Linked DNA regions of Struthio camelus. The protein of the gene in region 2 interacts with the protein of the main gene of each other region in a pairwise test. Links are inferred from orthologs where the notes say so. Each region holds a gene or a part of one and is shown on either strand. Other genes may lie near its edges. The genes, in order: MCMBP and PRTFDC1.

What was found.
Region 1: the proteins of PRTFDC1 (region 2) and MCMBP interact in binary tests that used the Homo sapiens proteins (3 or more experiments, as listed by UniProt). The two-hybrid records come from large-scale screens. The link is inferred for Struthio camelus from reciprocal best matches to the Homo sapiens genes PRTFDC1 and MCMBP.

The regions. Positions count from the first base shown.
Region 1 is NC_090948.1:6,958,954-6,968,331, forward strand, and holds the start of MCMBP (mini-chromosome maintenance complex-binding protein), read left to right. Parts: upstream 1-5,116; coding exon 5,117-5,174; intron 5,175-6,201; coding exon 6,202-6,287; intron 6,288-8,197; coding exon 8,198-8,358; intron 8,359-8,700; coding exon 8,701-8,742; intron 8,743-9,378. Other genes in the region: SEC23IP (SEC23-interacting protein), read right to left, coding at 4,569-4,713. UniProt on the Homo sapiens protein: Associated component of the MCM complex that acts as a regulator of DNA replication.
Region 2 is NC_090943.1:20,347,937-20,356,780, reverse strand, and holds the start of PRTFDC1 (phosphoribosyltransferase domain-containing protein 1), read right to left. Parts: upstream 4,054-8,844; 5' UTR 4,028-4,053; coding exon 3,968-4,027; intron 1-3,967. UniProt on the Homo sapiens protein: Has low, barely detectable phosphoribosyltransferase activity (in vitro). Binds GMP, IMP and alpha-D-5-phosphoribosyl 1-pyrophosphate (PRPP). Is not expected to contribute to purine metabolism or GMP salvage.

The DNA.
Region 1 (9,378 bases), on a different chromosome or scaffold from region 2:
TCCTCAGCAACCACAGCTCTTATGTTTCTTTTGGAGGGAAAAAGGTTCCCACTTACAAGGCATGGGTTCACTCTCCTGAAAGATATGCTTCTAGAACTATTTATGGGAGCACAACACAGAGGAGATCACTGAAAAGACTGTTGTTAAGAGATAAGCCTCAAAACAAACAGCATTTTAACTCATTGACCTCATTTCACAGTGCAGTGTCATAAACTGCTGCCTCAGCACAACTGAAGGCTCAGCAGTACACAGCTGAAGTTAGGACCTTCCCAAGCCAACGTAGCAAAGAACCCTGCTTCCAGGACACTGGAATCCCTTTCAATTCCCCCTTATGCCTACCAGGTGCAAAAAGATCCTTAGTCGACTTCCTTTCACCATGAAAACAGCCTCTAAGCACTTCACCTTCCAATTTTTTAAGCTTCCAAGATCAAATTCAGAGGAGCTTAAGAAGATTCCCCAATAGGCCACATCTACTGGTTAAGCAGTGCGTTCTCATCTCCCCCTTCAGAAGGGCCCTCTCAAGATTCCCCATTTGACTTGCAAGGTGGCAAAAACACAACAACCCATGTCATTAGAAAAGCACAGTTTATTTCAGTTCTGTCTATATATCTTATTCTAGAGTGGCACAAGAGCTACATTTCTGGTCCAGAGGAAAACAAGTAACTGCAATAATTCCAGGAGAGGGCCTAAAAGGTGCAATGCCATATGCCTGCCCTTTTGCATCAAAAGGGGAAGTATATAAAACCAGGTCCCGGTCAAGTAGAGTTTTCTGCTTTGCAATGATCCAGTAACAAGCGACAACCAAGCGGTTTGACATTATTATAGGTCTCACAGTAAGCTCAATTGAACCTGGGACGATCTGAGCATCGCCACCCACCTGCTGAGGGAACAGCCTCTTCTGAGCAGCCAACACAATTTACAGAAGTCATAAAAGTGCTCTCATCTACTCTAGCAGTTAAATAATCCCCAGACTGTGGGGAAGAAATTGCTTCGAAGAACGATCATTGCTTCTCTGCTACTCAGTCATTAGCCAAAGAAACAAACTAAACATCCCTGCAGCCACAAGCAGTCAATAACAAATGTCTTTATCTGCAGCCGAAACAGCTAGAGTATCAAGGGAGAATAGGGGAATGCACAGAGAACTCAAACTAGGAAGCTGCTGTTCTAGTTCATTAAATGGAAAACAAATAGCTGCCATCACTAAGACCATTTTAACCATCTGCTTTTATTCAGTTGCCCTTTCAGATGGTGTCAACTGGCCAATGCAGATGATGCTTGGTGTGTTATATTCTATTTTGAGGAACAAAACATCAAACCTATGCATGCAAACGATCTTGTGGAGAACACTAAATTTCATTTATAAGTAATGACCATTATAAACTCAGGCATGTGAATTACCTTCCAAACAGAAGAATAGCCACTTATACTATGGTCTTTGTTTCTAAATATTCTCCTTTCATATTTGATAGACATCATGGAATAAAGAGCAGCGTATCGCATACCACACAGTCAGGTCTCCACTTTCCAGAATGCCCAGGAGTAGAAGAGGTAATACATCTCATGGCAATTTCAGTGCACTGCTACGTGTTAATCATAATCTAAAAAAACGAGTCAAGGCCTTTACCAAATGCCTGTGCACAAAACACCTACTATTCTTCAGTTTCGACTAGTTCGGGGAGATTAAGTGTAACAGCATGTTCCCCTGAAAAACAGGGAGTTGACTAAAGTTCTCCCAAAACAAATGTATGACAACCTTCTGTATCCCTCACAGACATCACCTTCTCATTCACAGATCATCCTCTGACAATCACAAGTGACAGATTTCCACCTTCTCATCAGGAGTACTCTTCTCTATTTAAAGTATATTGGTTACTTCATTTGCATTAGAGCCTGAGAATACCTCTTTTCTCATCAAACTGCAAAGCACAAAACACTCCTTACTCACTTTTAGAGATATAACAGATTTATCAGTGCACAAATCTTCCAGACGTGGATGTCAGAAGCAATTCCCGAGACCAGTTTCCATTACATTTTACACCATTTAGGATTCAAGCTCAATGGCTTGCTTTTCCTTGGTTCAAATTAGGGTTCAAGGAGCAAACTACTCTCTACAGGTAAATCCCTATTCCCATTAGGGAATTAGGGAAGGCAAGGGACCACAAAAGCAGAACACTTAACAGGATTGAGGCCCTACTTGGATAGATACAATGTGTGGCACATCCTCAGCAGGAGACCTTTGGCATTGAAATTGGTTCCAGTTGATTCTCAGCCCTGGTGAGGCCACATCTGGAGCACTCTGTCCAGATCTGGGCTCCCCAACACAAGAGAGACATGGAACTACTGCAGCGAGTCCAGCAGAGGGCTACTAAGACGTTTAAGGGACTGGAGCATCTCTCTGCAATGTGCCTTCTAGACATTCTGTTCTCCTTTCGCTCTACTGTTACCCAGTCAACATACTCCATCCTCTTTCTCATTGCCCAGTCTCAGTTCCCCTCCTTAATCATGCTTCTTCATTTCCTCTACCTGCCCTCAGCTTTCCTCCCCTTCTTCTTCTAGTATCTCCCTGCCCCTTTCTTTTTGGCGTTACCAGCTATGAGAAACAACACATTCCGGTCTAAGTCTACCCAGCCACAGTGAGGCTGCATCTGGAGCACTCTGTCCAGTTCTGGGCTCCCCAACACAAGAGAGACACGGAGCTACTGCAGTCAGACCAGGAGACACATTATTAAGGGACTGGAGCATCTCTCCTGCGAGGAAAGGCTGAGAGAGCCGGGCCCGTTCAGCCTGCAGAAGAGAAGACTCAGGGGGGAATCTGATCAACGCGTACAAGTATCTGAAGGGAGGGTGCCAGGAGGATGGGGCCAGCCTCTTCTCCGCGGTGCCCAGCGACAGGACGAGAGGCAACGGGCACACACTGAAACCCTTCGTCTGAACACGAAGGAAAAACTCCTTTGCTGTGAGGCTGACAGAGCACTGGAGCAGGTTGCCCATGGAGGTGGTGGAGTCTCCTTCCCTGGAGATACTCAAAAGCCGTCTGGACACAACCCTGTGCAATATGTTCTAGGTGACCCTGCCTGAGGTCCCTTCCAACCTCATCCATTCTGTGAAAAACTACGAATCTTCATCTGACCAGCTTAAGTGAGATAGAGACTACATGTTCGATCATAAATTTTGTTATTGAAATCTCATCCTCAGGTCTTCTCCATAGCTAGCTTCAAAGTCATAGAGGAAGCTGACACAGGAAAGCCATCTCTGCAAAGCTACTTAATAACTATTTTTTAAATGAAAAACATTGTATAGCGGCAACAAGAACTATAAGGATTGCACAAGTGGAAGTGGTGCATGTATCAGCTGCCTAGATACCTCACACAGGTAGGAGCGATATTCTAGTACTTTACACTACTCAAAAAGGCAGTTCAGTAGATATTTAAAGAATAAAAATGAAAAAGTGTTTCTAAGCCATACTTAACAAACATGTTTTTAAAATTACAAGGATTTACTTCATTTGTTTCCAGGCATATTAACACTTATCCTAAGTAAAATACAGCACTGTTGAAATCAGCTCTTGAATTCTGGACTCAATATGTGCCAGTCCTGTGAAGCTTAAAAATACTTGATTTCTAGATGCATTTTTACTGTTTAGGGCTTTTAATCTTAGACAGAACACACTTCCAAAAAATCTGTTCCTGTATCTGAAGTCATCTGAGCTTCAGTTTTAAGTTGTACGTACATAGGTTTGACGTACCATCCAGGCTTTGCAAGGAAGTGATATTAATCACCTAGCCTAAGCAAACAAGGAAATTTGAGGTACCTGCTTAGCATACTATTTTCAGGCAGGGAAAAAAAAGACAACGTCAGAGAGTCCTCTGAAGACTATTTATCCTACAAAACTGAAGTAAATGCCACTTTAAAAAAAATGCAATGCAGGAAGCACTGTCTGAACACGAAGGACAAACTTCTTTACCGTGAGGCTATATTAAATAGTCCTCTGCACAGAAGCATCAAAACAAAATTAATTGCTCAAACAAGAATGCTAACCTGTTAACTGGACACACGATAAAGCCTCTCCCCCTCTCTTCAGACACAGCACTAAAACCGAACACTTCAGTATCAAGCCCATGCATGAAAACAGCATACCTGAAGGAGCCTGTCTTCCCTAAAGCACCAACTCCAACAGCTGCCAGTGAAAACCAGCTCAGAAAACCTCACAGCAAAGCGACTACAGCCAAACAAAAAACTCGGCCCTCGCTAGGGAAGGGTCGAGCCAGCGTGAGGAAGGAAGCCCACCTTCCTGTTTGTTGCTCGGCGGACAGCAGGACCGGCGGATCCAAACACAGTTGCGCAACACAAGCAAAGAACAAAAAAAAAGAAAAAGAAAGAAAAAAGAGGAATCGCCTCTCTGTCCCCTCCCCCGCCCCGAGCCCGGCCACGGAGCGCAGCGGCCGCCCCGCACCTCGGGGCCTCCGGAAGGCTCCCCCCGCCCGGCCCCCGGCCCCCGCCGGGCCCACAGCCCGCTCCCCCGCGCCGGCGGCCGCCCCGCCACCCCTCGGCCCCCAGCGCCCCCGTACCCGCCGAGAGGACAGCGGAGTCCGGCGGCCCGGCTGGGGCCTGGCTGACCGGGATGAAGGGCACCGTGAAGTTGAACTCGGTGGCGGAGGAGGAGAAGAGCAGGTTGGTGCCGCCACCACCGGCCCCGGGCTTGGCCGCCGCCATGGCTGCGCTGCTTCCACGTCTCTTCCCTCGCGGCGGCCCGGCCCCTTCCGCCCTCACCGCTGCCCGCTTCCAACATGGCGGTAGCGGCGACGCGCTCCCCCCCCCCCCGCCCCGTTCCGCGCACGGGCGCGGAGAGGAGGAGGAGGAGGAGAAAGCGGGCGGGGCGGGCCTGGCCCAGCCCTGCTCTTCCCTGCCCTGGTGCCGCCGCCATTGCCGCGGCCGCCGTCAGAGGAAGAGGAGGAGGAGGAAGGCGGAAGCCGGGCGCCCCTGTGCAAGGCTTGCGGGCGGGAGAGTGTCGGCGGCAGCAGCAGCAGCGGCAGCAGGGTGCGAGGCCCCGTCACTGACGCGGGGGAGTTGGCAGCGGCCCCCCCCCGCCCCGTCCCTGGGCGAGGCTCGCCCCGCCATGCCGTGTGTAGCCGACTGGCTCAACAACCCCTTCAGCATCGTGCAGGGCATCTTCGGTGAGCGGCGGCGGGCCGGGGGCCGGCTCCCTCTCAGGAGGCGCCCGTGAGAGGCCGGGCGGGCCGGCCTGGGCGGCGGCGGGGGAGGGCCGGGGCCGGTTCCCTCTCAGGAGGCGCCCGTGAGAGGCCGGGCGGGCCGGCCTGGGGCGGCGGCAGGGGAGGGCCGGGGCCGGTTCCCTCTCAGGAGGCGCCCGTGAGAGGCCGGGCGGGCCGGCCTGGGCGGCGGCGGGGGAGGGCCGGGGCCGGTTCCCTCTCAGGAGGCGCCCGTGAGAGGCCGGGCGGGCCGGCCTGGGGCGGCGGCAGGGGAGGGCCGGGGCCGGTTCCCTCTCAGGAGGCGCCCGTGAGAGGCCGGGCGGGCCGGCCTGGGGCGGCGGCAGGGGAGGGCCGGGGCCGGTTCCCTCTCAGGAGGCGCCCGCGAGAGGCCGGGCGGGCCGGCCTGGGGCGGCGGCGGGGGAGGGCCGGGGCCGGTTCCCTCTCAGGAGGCGCCCGCGAGAGGCCGGGCGGGCCGGCCTGGGCGGCGGCGGGGGAGGGCCGGGGCCGGTTCCCTCTCAGGAGGCGCCCGTGAGAGGCCGGGCGGGCCGGCCTGGGGCGGCGGCGGGGGAGGGCCGGGGCCGGTTCCCTCTCAGGAGGCGCCCGTGAGAGGCCGGGCGGGCCGGCCTGGGGCGGCGGCGGGGGAGGGCCGGGGCCGGTTCCCTCTCAGGAGGCGCCCGCGAGAGGCCGGGCGGGCCGGCCTGGGCGGCGGCGGGGGAGGGCCGGGGCCGGTTCCCTCTCAGGAGGCGCCCGTGAGAGGCCGGGCGGGCCGGCCTGGGGCGGCGGCCAGCGGCAGCCGGCGGCTTCCCGCCTCGGGCGCCTGAGGCGCGAGGGGGCGGTGTGGGGGCGGCTCGGGGCCCGGCCCCGCCGCGGCTGCAGGGTTAGGCAGGGAAAGGCGTTCCTGCGGGAAGGGAAGGGGTGAGTTTGAAACGGCTTGCGGCGTGAGGGGAACGCCGGGTAGATGCTGATGCCGCTGTCAACGTGCGTTGTGTCGTAGCGCAAAATGATCCGAGCTCCGACTGGGAGAGGAAGGTGACCGAATATTTCAGAGAGAAGCTGAAAGAAAACAACGCTACTCACTGGGTAAGGTGGTTTTTATTCTGGGAGCGTTGCGCCGGTGCTAAGTTTCGCCCTTCTTGCCTCCTGGTGGCCGTGGCGCCCGGCTTCGGAGCAGCCCTTCGTCGGGAAAGGGGCGCTCGGCCCCGGGTTCCTCGGAAGCGCGCTTCTGAATGTTAGGCCTAGCCTTTGTAACGCGCTGTTTACGTCTCCGTTGGTAGGTAGGTAGGTAGGTAAAAACGAAGATGTAAAATCCTGCCTCAAGCCACTCCCCGTGACTTTCGGGTGGTGTGTGGGTTTTTTTTTTTTTTTTTTTTTTTTTTGGCCTCGGCCGTCGCCGCCGAGCGCCGCCTGTTTGTGGCGCCGCCCAGCAGATGGCGGGAGCTGACTAATGAGTGCTGGTGTTTCCTCAAAGCGTGATAACTAACGGGGGTTTGTGGCCGCCGTGCTGCGGCGGAGGTTTGTACGGCGCCGGGGTCCCGACTGCTGGGCAGACACCCCTCCGCTCAGCGGCTGCCCGTGCAGCGCCGTGACCTCCCTGGGGGCTGATGAAACAGCTGCTTGGTTTTTCGTCTTTGAGGCAGAGCGGGGGCGGGGGGGAAATACCATCTGCCTAAAAACTGTTCTGGATCAGGCCAGGTTTTGAAAGTGCAGGAAGGAAGCTCTCCTTTATTTTTAAAGCTAAGCAGGCACGCTTGAGCTCAAAAGGTGATGCTGTTCTGAAGGGCTGTGGGGAAACGGTGTCGTGGAGCTCTGTCCTAGTTGGACTAGGAGCTCTCAGTGTCGAATCTGTTCTATTTATGATTTAAAAAAACAAATACAAATAAAATTGTTTTTTTTTTTTGTTTTAATTTTTCTGCCAGTGAGAGAGGAATTCTGTGTTTGAGTGTCAAGGACAGTTTAAATCATAGTGTAGAGGAATAATTCTGTTCCTCCAGCAGAACTGTGTTAAATTTGCAGCAGTAGAAGGAATTAAAATAAAAACATATTTTCTTACTCAAGATGAACACGAGGGAGTATGTGAGTTGTTGTTGGTTTAGTTTTTTTGTTTGTTTAAGTCATTTTTACAGGGCCACTTTTGGTTTCATGTCATTTTAACGTTGAGTGTGATATCTTAACCAAGAGTTTATTTTAAAAACCAAAAAAAAAAACAACCTTATAGCAGGTCTCATTATTTTGATTTGTACTATATACCTGGACACCCGTTTTCCTTCTGCTTTTCTATTATCATATAAATATATGCAAAACAAACTCCCCCAGTGTGAAGGACTTTCAGATTAAGATACAATTTTTCTTCCTGTCCTTTTGGAAATACAAATATTTTGTTATAAGAAATTGTGCATGCAATTGCTGCAGTATCACTGATGCATGATGCATGGTCAAAGTGTTGTTAAATGGGAATAAAATAAGTAATAAATTTTATCTTAATATTCAGTTGAAATAATCCCCAAACTAACATTACAATCTCATATGTTGTTAAAGAGTTTACATACAGTTTCAATGAACTGAAACCCGTTTGTTTAGTCTGATATTGGAACTGAGAAATGAATGAGACTAATGGCTTTGCAACTGGAAAAATTTGGGAACTGTCAGTGTATGATAATCGTAACTATTGCCTCTAACAGCTACTGCAGAAACTTCCAGTGGTGTCAGGTATATTGTTACCTCTTGGACTGGGGCAGTAGATTTGGGGGCTAGGTGTGGGGAGAAAAGTACCCAGAAAATACTGAATCTGTTATGTGATGAGATGCTGAATTGTCAAAGGCAATTAATCTTATTGTCAATAAAATAGGCTTTGAGGCAAATAAAGTCAACAGCAGGAAACACTGAATGACCAGAGAATAAATTGGTGACAGCTTATGTGCAGTTTCTGGCTTACTTCAGGGCATTTCTCAATATTTATATAGCAGTTGTTTAGAATAAGCTCTCTTTTTCAGGTTCCGTCACTAAATGATGTTCCCCTACATTACCTAAAGCCCAACAGCTTAGTGAAATTTCGCTGCATGGTTCAAGATATGTTTGATCCTGAGTTTTACATGGGAGTCTATGAAACAGTTGATCCAAACACAAACATGCGTGTAAGTGAAATACTGTTTTGGTAAATGTTTAGCATTTTCTTCATTCCGTTCTTCATGCTTCTCTAGTTTTCTGAGTTAAACCTGTGGAGTCCAGGCACTGTCTAGTATTAACTCTATTTAAATAACTCAAATGGCATCAGTAACGTATTGCTTCGTATATTTCTGTTTATGAAGTATTGAAAACAAAATTCGGAAGGTTATTATTGCAAATGTAATTTGAGGGAATCAAAATTACTAAGGTAATGAAAGTTTGAGCAGTATGTCTTTGAAGGTTTTTAGACTGCAATAAATTTGGTGCAAGTAGTCCATATTCAGGATGTACTGGAAACGGAATAATTGCGTTGCTTTTGTCTTCTTGACAGGTTTTGCATTTTGGTAAATACAGAGACGTGGCAGAATGTGGGGTAAGTTATATGTTTTCTATATCAGATTTCGAGATGAAATATTATTCAGACAGAAAGATGCATTTTTATAAGTGCAGTATAATTTATTTGGCACTCATCAGTGAATCTCTGGAGATGCCGTTCTTAAAATTCCAAATTAAGCCCAGGTTTGGAAAGCAGAGAACTCTTAATTGCTCCTGTGCATGCTAAGTTCAGCAGTCTTCAAGCTACTTCCGTAGTATTTAAAGCTTGTTTTGCTTTTATATGCTGTTATCTGTGGTCGTTAGTTTTGGCCACTAATTCTTTGCCAAGAAGCAGGCTAGTGGAAGTGTTTTTTTGTTTGCTTGTTTTTTTAAGTCTCTTGAAACTTCCTGATATGGCAAACACTTTATTTTTGGTAGTGCAGTGCTATTAGTGTGAAAACATTATAGATTCAGACTCCTTGGAATCGTGCAAGATCGCATACTTGTGAGACGATGGCTGTTGTAACTTCTGGCTAGATACATGGTTCTATGGAATTAGCTAAAAAAAATCGATTGTTAACATCATTTATTTTTGGTATTCCAGCCTCAGCAGGAGATTGATTTGAACTCCTCACAAACAGTAACATGGGAGAGACAGACATTCTACTGCGTTCCAGTGCCTGGCGAATCAGCA
Region 2 (8,844 bases):
TATCATTTTTTAAAATTAAATTTTCCAGAAGAGCATTTTAGTTTCTTTTCCCACAAAATGCGGGAAATTTCACTTGAAATTACAAACACCGAGACATAAAGGGGAAATAGTTAATACTAAACTAGTGACAGGTCCAAGTTTCTTGTTACTTTCAAACTAGAAATCCAAATGTAAGACTACTAATACAAAGAGAATCTTCAATGGGAGAGTCACCCAGTGGGACTTAGAACCCACAAAATCATACTTTAAAACTGTGAATTTCTGTTTTAGAGATATTTTAGAATCTCACATAAATATATATTCTACAGACAAAAGAGCACAAAGGGAGAATAAATTATGTGATTCACAGACTGCATCTGTACAAGTCAATGGAAGACTGTACCACTTGTGAATGGTGAGGTCCTTAATTTAGAAGTCACCAAAGGTAAGTGTTTAAAAAAGTTCTCATCTCACTTTACTATCAGATAATCTGCAAAGCCATACATTTACTGAACAAATCTTTTACAGATTTAATATGTTAGCTTCACAACTATCAGAGCACTACGCTTAGGAGATCACATAAAATGCAACAGCAGACTACAGAGATCATGTTGGACAAAAATTGGCCAATGGGCAAAGGCTTCAGAAAGCCTTCAGAAAGCTATGAAGATGCAAAGTACACTTCAACAAAAAACAAAAACTAAACAAACTCCAAATCCACAATTTTCACATATACGTCAATATGAAAAACAACACCTCCAGGTTCATGAGACTTCTTGGAATCATTCTAGAGCTCTTGTTTTGAGATTGGTTCAGAATAAAAAGTGACACCTATTAGGTTTGCTTTACCATCACGTTCCTTGAGCAACATACTTGCCTTCTTCTTTCCACAGCTCAGGCCCATGAACATTGATTAGAAAGATAAAAGGTGAGAGACTTGCCTTTGTGAAGTGTATTTTTAATAGCATTTCTGCTAAATGGATTCCTTAAAGAATTGTCACTGAAATTAACCTATGCTTACTATTTCATCTAGTAGGACAATAAACCACGTCTCAAAAATAACTAGACTGACACAGCATATTAGATGTTAAGCTGTTCCTCCAGATTTGCAGTCTTTTTGACGTTACCCAGCTAATACTGCACTGAAACAAAGTCTTCCATCTAATAGGTTAATTTGGGGAGAGGTTGCATATTCATTGGCATCTACAGATGCCTAGACTGTCATGCCAGTCTAGGCACGCCCAATAGTTTCTGTATCAAAAGAAGTTATTTGTTGGTAAGTACTATTGAATATTGCACATGATTCAGAAAACAATAGTCAATGAAAGTATTTCCATTGATCCATAGGAGCCTTGAAACTAGACAGACACAAAAGAAGAGTTACTTAGTTACATTCCTCATTTCCATAGAAACAGTAGATCATACATACCCTCATTGTCAAAGTTTTTAATTGGGTCAGATCTCGCTACAAAAACACTGCTGCAGGAGGCCTAGCAAGCCTTTCTATGTTGTTTTCCCATCTTCATGTGCAGTACCTAGGAGCAGCTGACGCTTTTTAAGCATTTTGTAGCAATGAACTGTCTGGCATGATTTTGTTCAAAAGTATTTTAATATTTAAAGGAAACAATTTAAAATTTCCTTTTAATTGCATAAGTACTATTAACACACACTAGGAACCCATGTCAGTATTGCTTATTTAGGCAGCATTCTCATCAAATTAGAGGTTTTTAAGATTAGATGTAGAAGACTAAATTAAACGACTAGAAACGGCTTGAGAAACCACACAAACCAATAGCTTTTACTTAAATTACAGTATGTCCTTTATGAAACAAGATTAGGATGAAATTTTGATTTTTCTATCAATCTTCCTGGTTCTTTTGAATAAAAGAATATAAATTTGAAAGGATAACGAAATTATCCTGTAAAAGTGCTCACTGGCATCTGGTATATAAGATTAAATTCACATGCATTCCAATTTATTATTTTTCTAATATAATAAGCCTATTCCCCACTCATCTTTCATTTAAACAAGCACTAACCAATTACGAGCGTTCGGAATTCTAATTTACCCTGAAGCTGTCCACAGTGTTATGCTACAGGACAATTTTCAGGTAACTGTAAATTTGGAAGAGCATTCCACATGAGAATTAAAAAAATCTGTGATTGTCCTCAGCTTATATAGCTAAGTATCAAAAAAAGTCCCAACCCAAATTAAACTCAACTTCTGTTTACTTCTGGCTTTAAGCATAGAATATATAAGAAAATATATGTGACTGCTTCAATAAAAAGAGAGAAAAAAATATATATAGATATATATGCTACACATATTGCAATACAAGTGTGTAAAAAGCCATATAGTAAAATCAACAAACAGCTTTTTTTTAAGTTCAGATTTGGCATGTTCAAACAGGCCAGCAGAAATTCAGACTTAAAGAGCTGATGTGAATGTATACTATCAAAAATATAAATACATGGCAACGTCTGAAAGTGTTCCATCATGAGGAGCATGAAGGAATATGAGGAATATTGAGGCACACGAGAGAAAGTAGAGAAATCCGACTGCAATACCTTTGGAAGCACGTTGCTAGTTTTGTACAAAAGGTGGGTGCACATCACGTTTAAGCACAGTAAATATTTCCACTTAGGTAACAAAGACCTAGATTCTGCTTTAGTATAAAATAAGTGAGCTGAGCATCAAGTAAACTACAACTTTGGTAAACTTAAACTATATCATACTACATTAGCCTTACTTTTGGTTTCTGGAGGCAGAGGTATGAGGGTGCATGTGCACGTGTGTGTATCAAACAAAAGAAGAGAAATCAGTACAGCAGAACATGCTTTCTGAACATTCAGCCTCTCCTCTGCAAGATCCCCAGTTTGCTTTGGTGCTAAACACAGTCATCCACTTTAAAAATGGCATTTATTACCAAGGTGTCACAAGTGACAATTGGAACGCAGCGGCTTCAGGCACAGCTCAAACATAATTCTGCCATTTTGGGGAGGAGGGAAATGGAGGGGACTTTGGGGCAGGCAGGATTTAACCATTACCTAAGCAAAACTCTCAGCTCTGGGCTACAATTTGGACTGTTGTTCTGGAATTTGGTTAAAACACCCACACTACACTGAAATAAAAACGTTTCTGAAGTGGTGAGAACCCCTGAGTTTGACATCTGTTTTACAGAAGAATCTGCTTTGTCCCTCAGAATAATGAATATATATATATATATTTTGCTTTTAGCATAATTTATTCAACCTAATAGGTACTCAGAACACAAGGCCACATGCATTATTTTTCCTACTACAGAAAAACAAAATACGGACAACCTCGCAGGGCGTTTTTACCAGAGCTCCCAGATCTCCCCAAAGGTATCTAAGCTTTCCAGTGCGCACCAGACACTCATACACCTTTGGGGATCTTCTGCTCAGTTACTCAAGCAGGGACGTATCTAACAGCCGAAGCCATCGCTGCAGACGACGCAGAGGACGGATGGGGCTTTCTAGGTGGAAGCCCGCGGCGCGGCCGCGTTAGGCGAGGCGGCCCGGCCGGCCCCGAGCCCGGCAGCGCCTTCGCGCACGGCCGCTCGCTTTCCTCCTGCAGCAGCCAGACCCGTGCGAGGCGCGGTGGGGTGGGACGCTCCAGAGAGACAAGCGAACAGGGAGACACCGAGGGGGCGGGGGAGGGCCCGGCGGGCCGGGGCTGCGCGGGGCGGCAGGCGGCGCCGCGGCCCTGAGGCGACGGCGAGGCCTGCGGCGGCCTCGGGCTGCGGGGCCGGGGCACGGGCGCAAGGAGCGGAGCCCCGGGCGCCGCGCCGCGCCGCGCCGCGCCGCGCCGGGCCGGGCCGGGCCGGGCCGGGCCGGGCCGGCGGGGGCGCCGCGGCGGCCGAGGAGCTGCACCGGGGGTGGGCGGGCAGCGGGGAAGGGAGGGAAAGGCGGCCCGGAAGGCGGGAGGGCGCGCAGCAGCGCGGGCAGGGCGGACGCGTCCATTTACCACAACGCCGCGGCCTCCGCCTCCGCGCGCCGCCGCGCCGCTCCCGCCTTGCCCGGCCATCTTGCTGCGCGCCCGCCCCCGGCGCTGCTGCGGGCGGGCCGGGGCTGGAGCCGCGCCGCCCCCCGGCGCCGCCCGTCGCCCGGGCCGAGCTGCGCGGCCCCGCAGCGCTTCCCTTCTCCGCGCGAGTTACGCAGGCAGTAACGTTCCCGACGCAGGCTGAAGCATGGAGGACAGGAGCCTCAGACAAGCTCCGTCGTCTTCTCCTATGACAAGATAAAGCTTAATCATTAGAGGTCTCTTTTTAACGGAGAAAATACTGATGATAACGTGCTAAAGCATACGTAAGGCGTCACAGGGTAGCTGTTAACAACGAACTCGGGAAGGAAACGGCAGTGTCTTTGCCGTTCTCGCGGCAGGGGGAGGGAGCAGCCTCGGCGCCCCCCCCCCCCGGGGCGGCGGCGGCGGCGGCAGGCGAGGGGGCCGGACGGAGGCAGGCAGCGGGCCTGGGCGTCCCGAGCTGCCTGCGTTGAATGAAACCGGTGTGGTTCAGACTGACATTGTAGCAGGTTTGCGCTCATATCCTAGGGAAGTAAAGGAGGCCAGAAAGCAGGCGGTTGCAGCACGTCAGTAATCCTGCCTTCCTTCCCGGCTGGCTGCTGAACTGCTGCCCCTTCTTCCCCTCCGTGCTGCAATAAGCTGTGGCTTCCCGTTTCCTTCAGCCCGCCTCTGTTCCTCGTGCTGTCTGTTCACTAAAAGGAGAGCATTTCAGGAGGCCATTCCGATTCTGTGATGATTTTGATTCTGCAAAAATTGTCAGTATTGCTGTTTTGCTTTTACAACCTGCCAGCTGAGAAAGCTTCCTTCTTCTCTTGGGTTACTCTGATCATTGTCTACCTTTAATGCTTCCATTTAAGAAGCTCAAAATTGATGGACTTGCTCTATCTTTTTTGTACCCTGTCTTTTAGGGGAAAATGCTAACAGCCTCTCAGTCCACTGCAGATTAAACTATAGTGGCAGTTAAAATTATCTTGTGATGACTGCTTTGTTTCCTGTAAAAAACCAAAATATTTGCTTTTTAATGGGTTACAGACCTACTCTTACAAGAACTATCACAACTGACAACATAGCTGAAAGAACAAAGGACCAGGTTTACAGAGTGACAGAGGCTCAATCCAGAGTATTTCTGTCTTGGAAGCGATCACCGTATATGAAGACTGAGGTGTGCTGGAAAAAGATTCTATCTGTTCACAGAGTCTTAAAATGAGCTTAGCGAAAGGTGGCGAATTTGATAAAGAGCATGTACGGATTTGTAAAAACCTACATCAAGTAAATAAAATTATTTCTGTAAGCTATATCTAGATCTTCATAATATGGAGAATCCCTAAATCCTTTTGCGTTTCTGACGCATGTCAATATTTCTTACAACTATTCAGAAAGAAAGTCTACTGTTTCATCTAAACTTTGGGATCAAATGCCACTGATTTGTACAAACAAGCACTTCTGAAGATCTGAAGATTTTTCTTGCCTGAAGGTGTGGAGAAAGCCCATCTAAAGCCCACATGCATCCTAAAGTGAATGCAATCTGATTCAGTTACCTCCATGTTACAGATAAAGTTCTCCTGCATAAACATCACGGAACTGGGCTCTACAGTTTTAAAGCTGCTTAGATTACAGTTACAATTTCAGCGTTTTGCCAATGCTGTATGCCTACTGGTTTCTTTTACCATTTGAATTTGTTGGGTTATTTTTACAGAATTTGTGCCTCTTAACCATGTCTTTTATAGGACCACAGGAATACAAGAGAGCATTCTAACTGCATCACAGACAGAACACCACAGACAGTAGTTCAGAGATTTGGAAAAGATTATCATGAACAAGAGACTGAAAAATAAATTCCTCTGGCATTGTGCTGATAAACTTAAACAGGAAATGTTTGTTCTTCCTGTCCAGGTTGGATGACTGCGTTCTGTCAAACCTTCCTTTTGGTATTCTCCCCTTCCAATAGTTTTACTGGGCTCACTTCAGAAGCATAAAGAAGTGTCATGTCTTGCTAATAATAATAATAAATAGGAATATGGAAATGAAAAACTAAATAAATTTAGCTGGGGTACAGTTTGAAGAGTAGTGCTGCTATCAACAGCCACCAGTCCAATCCATCAAACTGCTCTTCTGCATGTAAGACTACTCATTGACATAATATAAAATGTAATTTTTTTTTCCAGTTTTGGTACAAATGAGAAAACAAATTGTGCTTCTGGAAACCCATAGAAGGTTCTTTGGGCATGATGGAAATGAAGCTGCTAAGGATTTTCCTATGGAGGTATATGTATGTACCGAAAGTTTACACAGGCTTTTACAGTTTGAACTGGCATACCATTCATAAGTTTACAGTAGATTTTGAAAACCTTTTTAATTAGAGCCAAAACAGGATTATCAGCCTTAACTTTGAAAAAGATTGTACGAGTTCTGAAGAACCTTCCTGTTATCTTTGTTTACATGTTTGTTTACAAACTAAAAATAGTAGGAAAAGAATGAACACTTTCAGATATACAACCATAGGAAATGATCAAAGGGGAAAAGAACAAAGAAAATAGAGTAGAAGAACAGTGAACTCATACTAACAAGTAGGTCTGGACACATAGCCAAAAAACATAAAGGAACAGATGGAAAAAGCGACACAGACAGAAGCAAAGCAGAGTTATGGCTTAAATGCAAATCTCTTGTGAAAGGAGTTACACCTTGGGCCTCTACAAAAATAACTCTATAATTTCAGTTACACATCCTTTCCCCTCTTATCCTGCTTCTGATGATCATAAAGCAGCACATGTAGTATCCACCCTTTCACAGCTATAATGTAAAGAAATAACAAAAACAGAAGGTTGGAGGTGAGTATATATCGAGAAAGTAGTACAAAACAGTATCATGGAGTTGCCAGTTAGCTTTTGCAATTGCATTATAAATTCTTCTCCTGAGAGGTTATAACAAAGATTTGACAACTCAGTTCAGTACGTAAGAGATAGCGGATGTCTTATCGTTACTTATTTCAAGTAAACACCAACAATAAAAAAAAAACAACATGAAAGTTCAGAATATTTCAAGAGGTATGGCTTACCTGGGCAGAAGCCTGCCAATTAAGGGATGAAGTAAGAGCTCTTATTCTGGTTCTGCCTGTTGCTGCAGCTCTTACACAAAAAGCAGTACGGTAAACAATCTTATCAAGCATAAAGCGGCATTTGTTGGCTGTTACAAGGTAGGTGAATCCCCCTATTGCTGCAGGGAAAGATGCTTACCTTTTTAGGTAAGAAAGATAATCGCTGAAGAGAATACTAAAAAGTAAAGTGTACCAGATAAATACTTCAGGGTATGTTGAAAGCAGTTTAGAATTGCTTTCATATCCAACTTTAATACATTCCAGAATTCCGAGTTACCTTGCATTACCTGAGGCAGTTCCCAAATCCTTAGGGTGGCTGCTGAAGAGCGGGACTGCAGCAAAAACTATGTGCCAGACTGTTAACAGACACCTTGCACAACAAGGAGTGGTACTTCAAACTGCTCTCCTACATTCAAGAACCTGGGGACACTTTGGGAAAAGCTGTCCAATTAGGCAGATTAGCTGGGTAGCATCCTACTTTTTTGCGTAGCGTAGACACTGTTTAATTTCCCCTTTGCAACTACTGTCATAAAGCAGCTAATGGAGTGGCACTGCAAGCCGGAATCTAACTTCTTTCCACCTTCAATTTCAGCAGAACCAGAGAATGCCGTTGAACATTGGGAAGTTCAGCTTTCAAACAACTGCAGTTTCTGAGACCTAAAAGTGAAATTCAGAATATTCAACTATTACAGTTAACCTCTATTGAGATGTCAGTCTGTTTTAATATGGTGTTTAAATCAGGATTAGATGCTGCTTGAGGGATTTCTGAATTTTGACTTATTTGTTCCATGATAAACATCTTTAATACAAAATTGCATTTTTGTTTATTATTCATCTCACTGTGTGAGACTAGAGCAACTAGTAGCTTCACTTTGCAATTTCCTGGCTCCTGAAGATACAGTTTCTGCTTTTCAGGTTTATGTTATTAATATAATGTTTTTTTATAGTTGAAATAAATGCAAACAAATGTTTCCTTTTGTCCTTTAATATTAGAATAATGTTTATTTATTTCATAGGATTATGGAAATATTGTCCCCACCAGCTAATGAGAAGTATACACATTTGAATGATAAAGCATTATTATCCAGTTAAGCTCTTCATGTTATATCCTGTGACAAATTCATCACTTGTGGCCATGAAAACTAGTCAGGAAATTGTAAATTTATAGTGGGTCACACCCAATGTATTGAATTTAACTGCTAGAGAGAGGTTTTGTTTTTGTTTTTTTTCCTAAGGAAGTTGTTCATTTGGCTTCCCCTCCACACACACACTTTTTTTTTTAAGCTACAGCAAATTTGAACAAAATCTGCAAAGCAGAGGAATTCTGAATGTTTCAAACAAGTAAGTGGATAACAGTGACTGATTTTTCATTGCCAAAATAGCTCAGTCTTCTTTGATGCAATTTTGTATACTTCACAGCTTGCCTTGAATAAACAGTGCAGTAAAAAAAAAGTGTATTGAAAAGCAGAATCTAGTCCAGCAAGTTCTCCTGTAGGGTAGGCATGTTAAATGTTCATGGCTGGCCAGCTGCTGAACTCTATTGCTGCACAGAAAGGCCCACTCCCTAAGAGCACTGGAATGCTGGATTTGGACCATTTGCTAATTTTATCATTCTGTGTACAAAACAGACCATTCCCTCTGAACAAATATCAAAATGTGGTTGTTTATTCTTCCTTGAACATGTGGCCCTAAGTACTGCACAAAATCTTTTTTCCTCTGAAGAGAG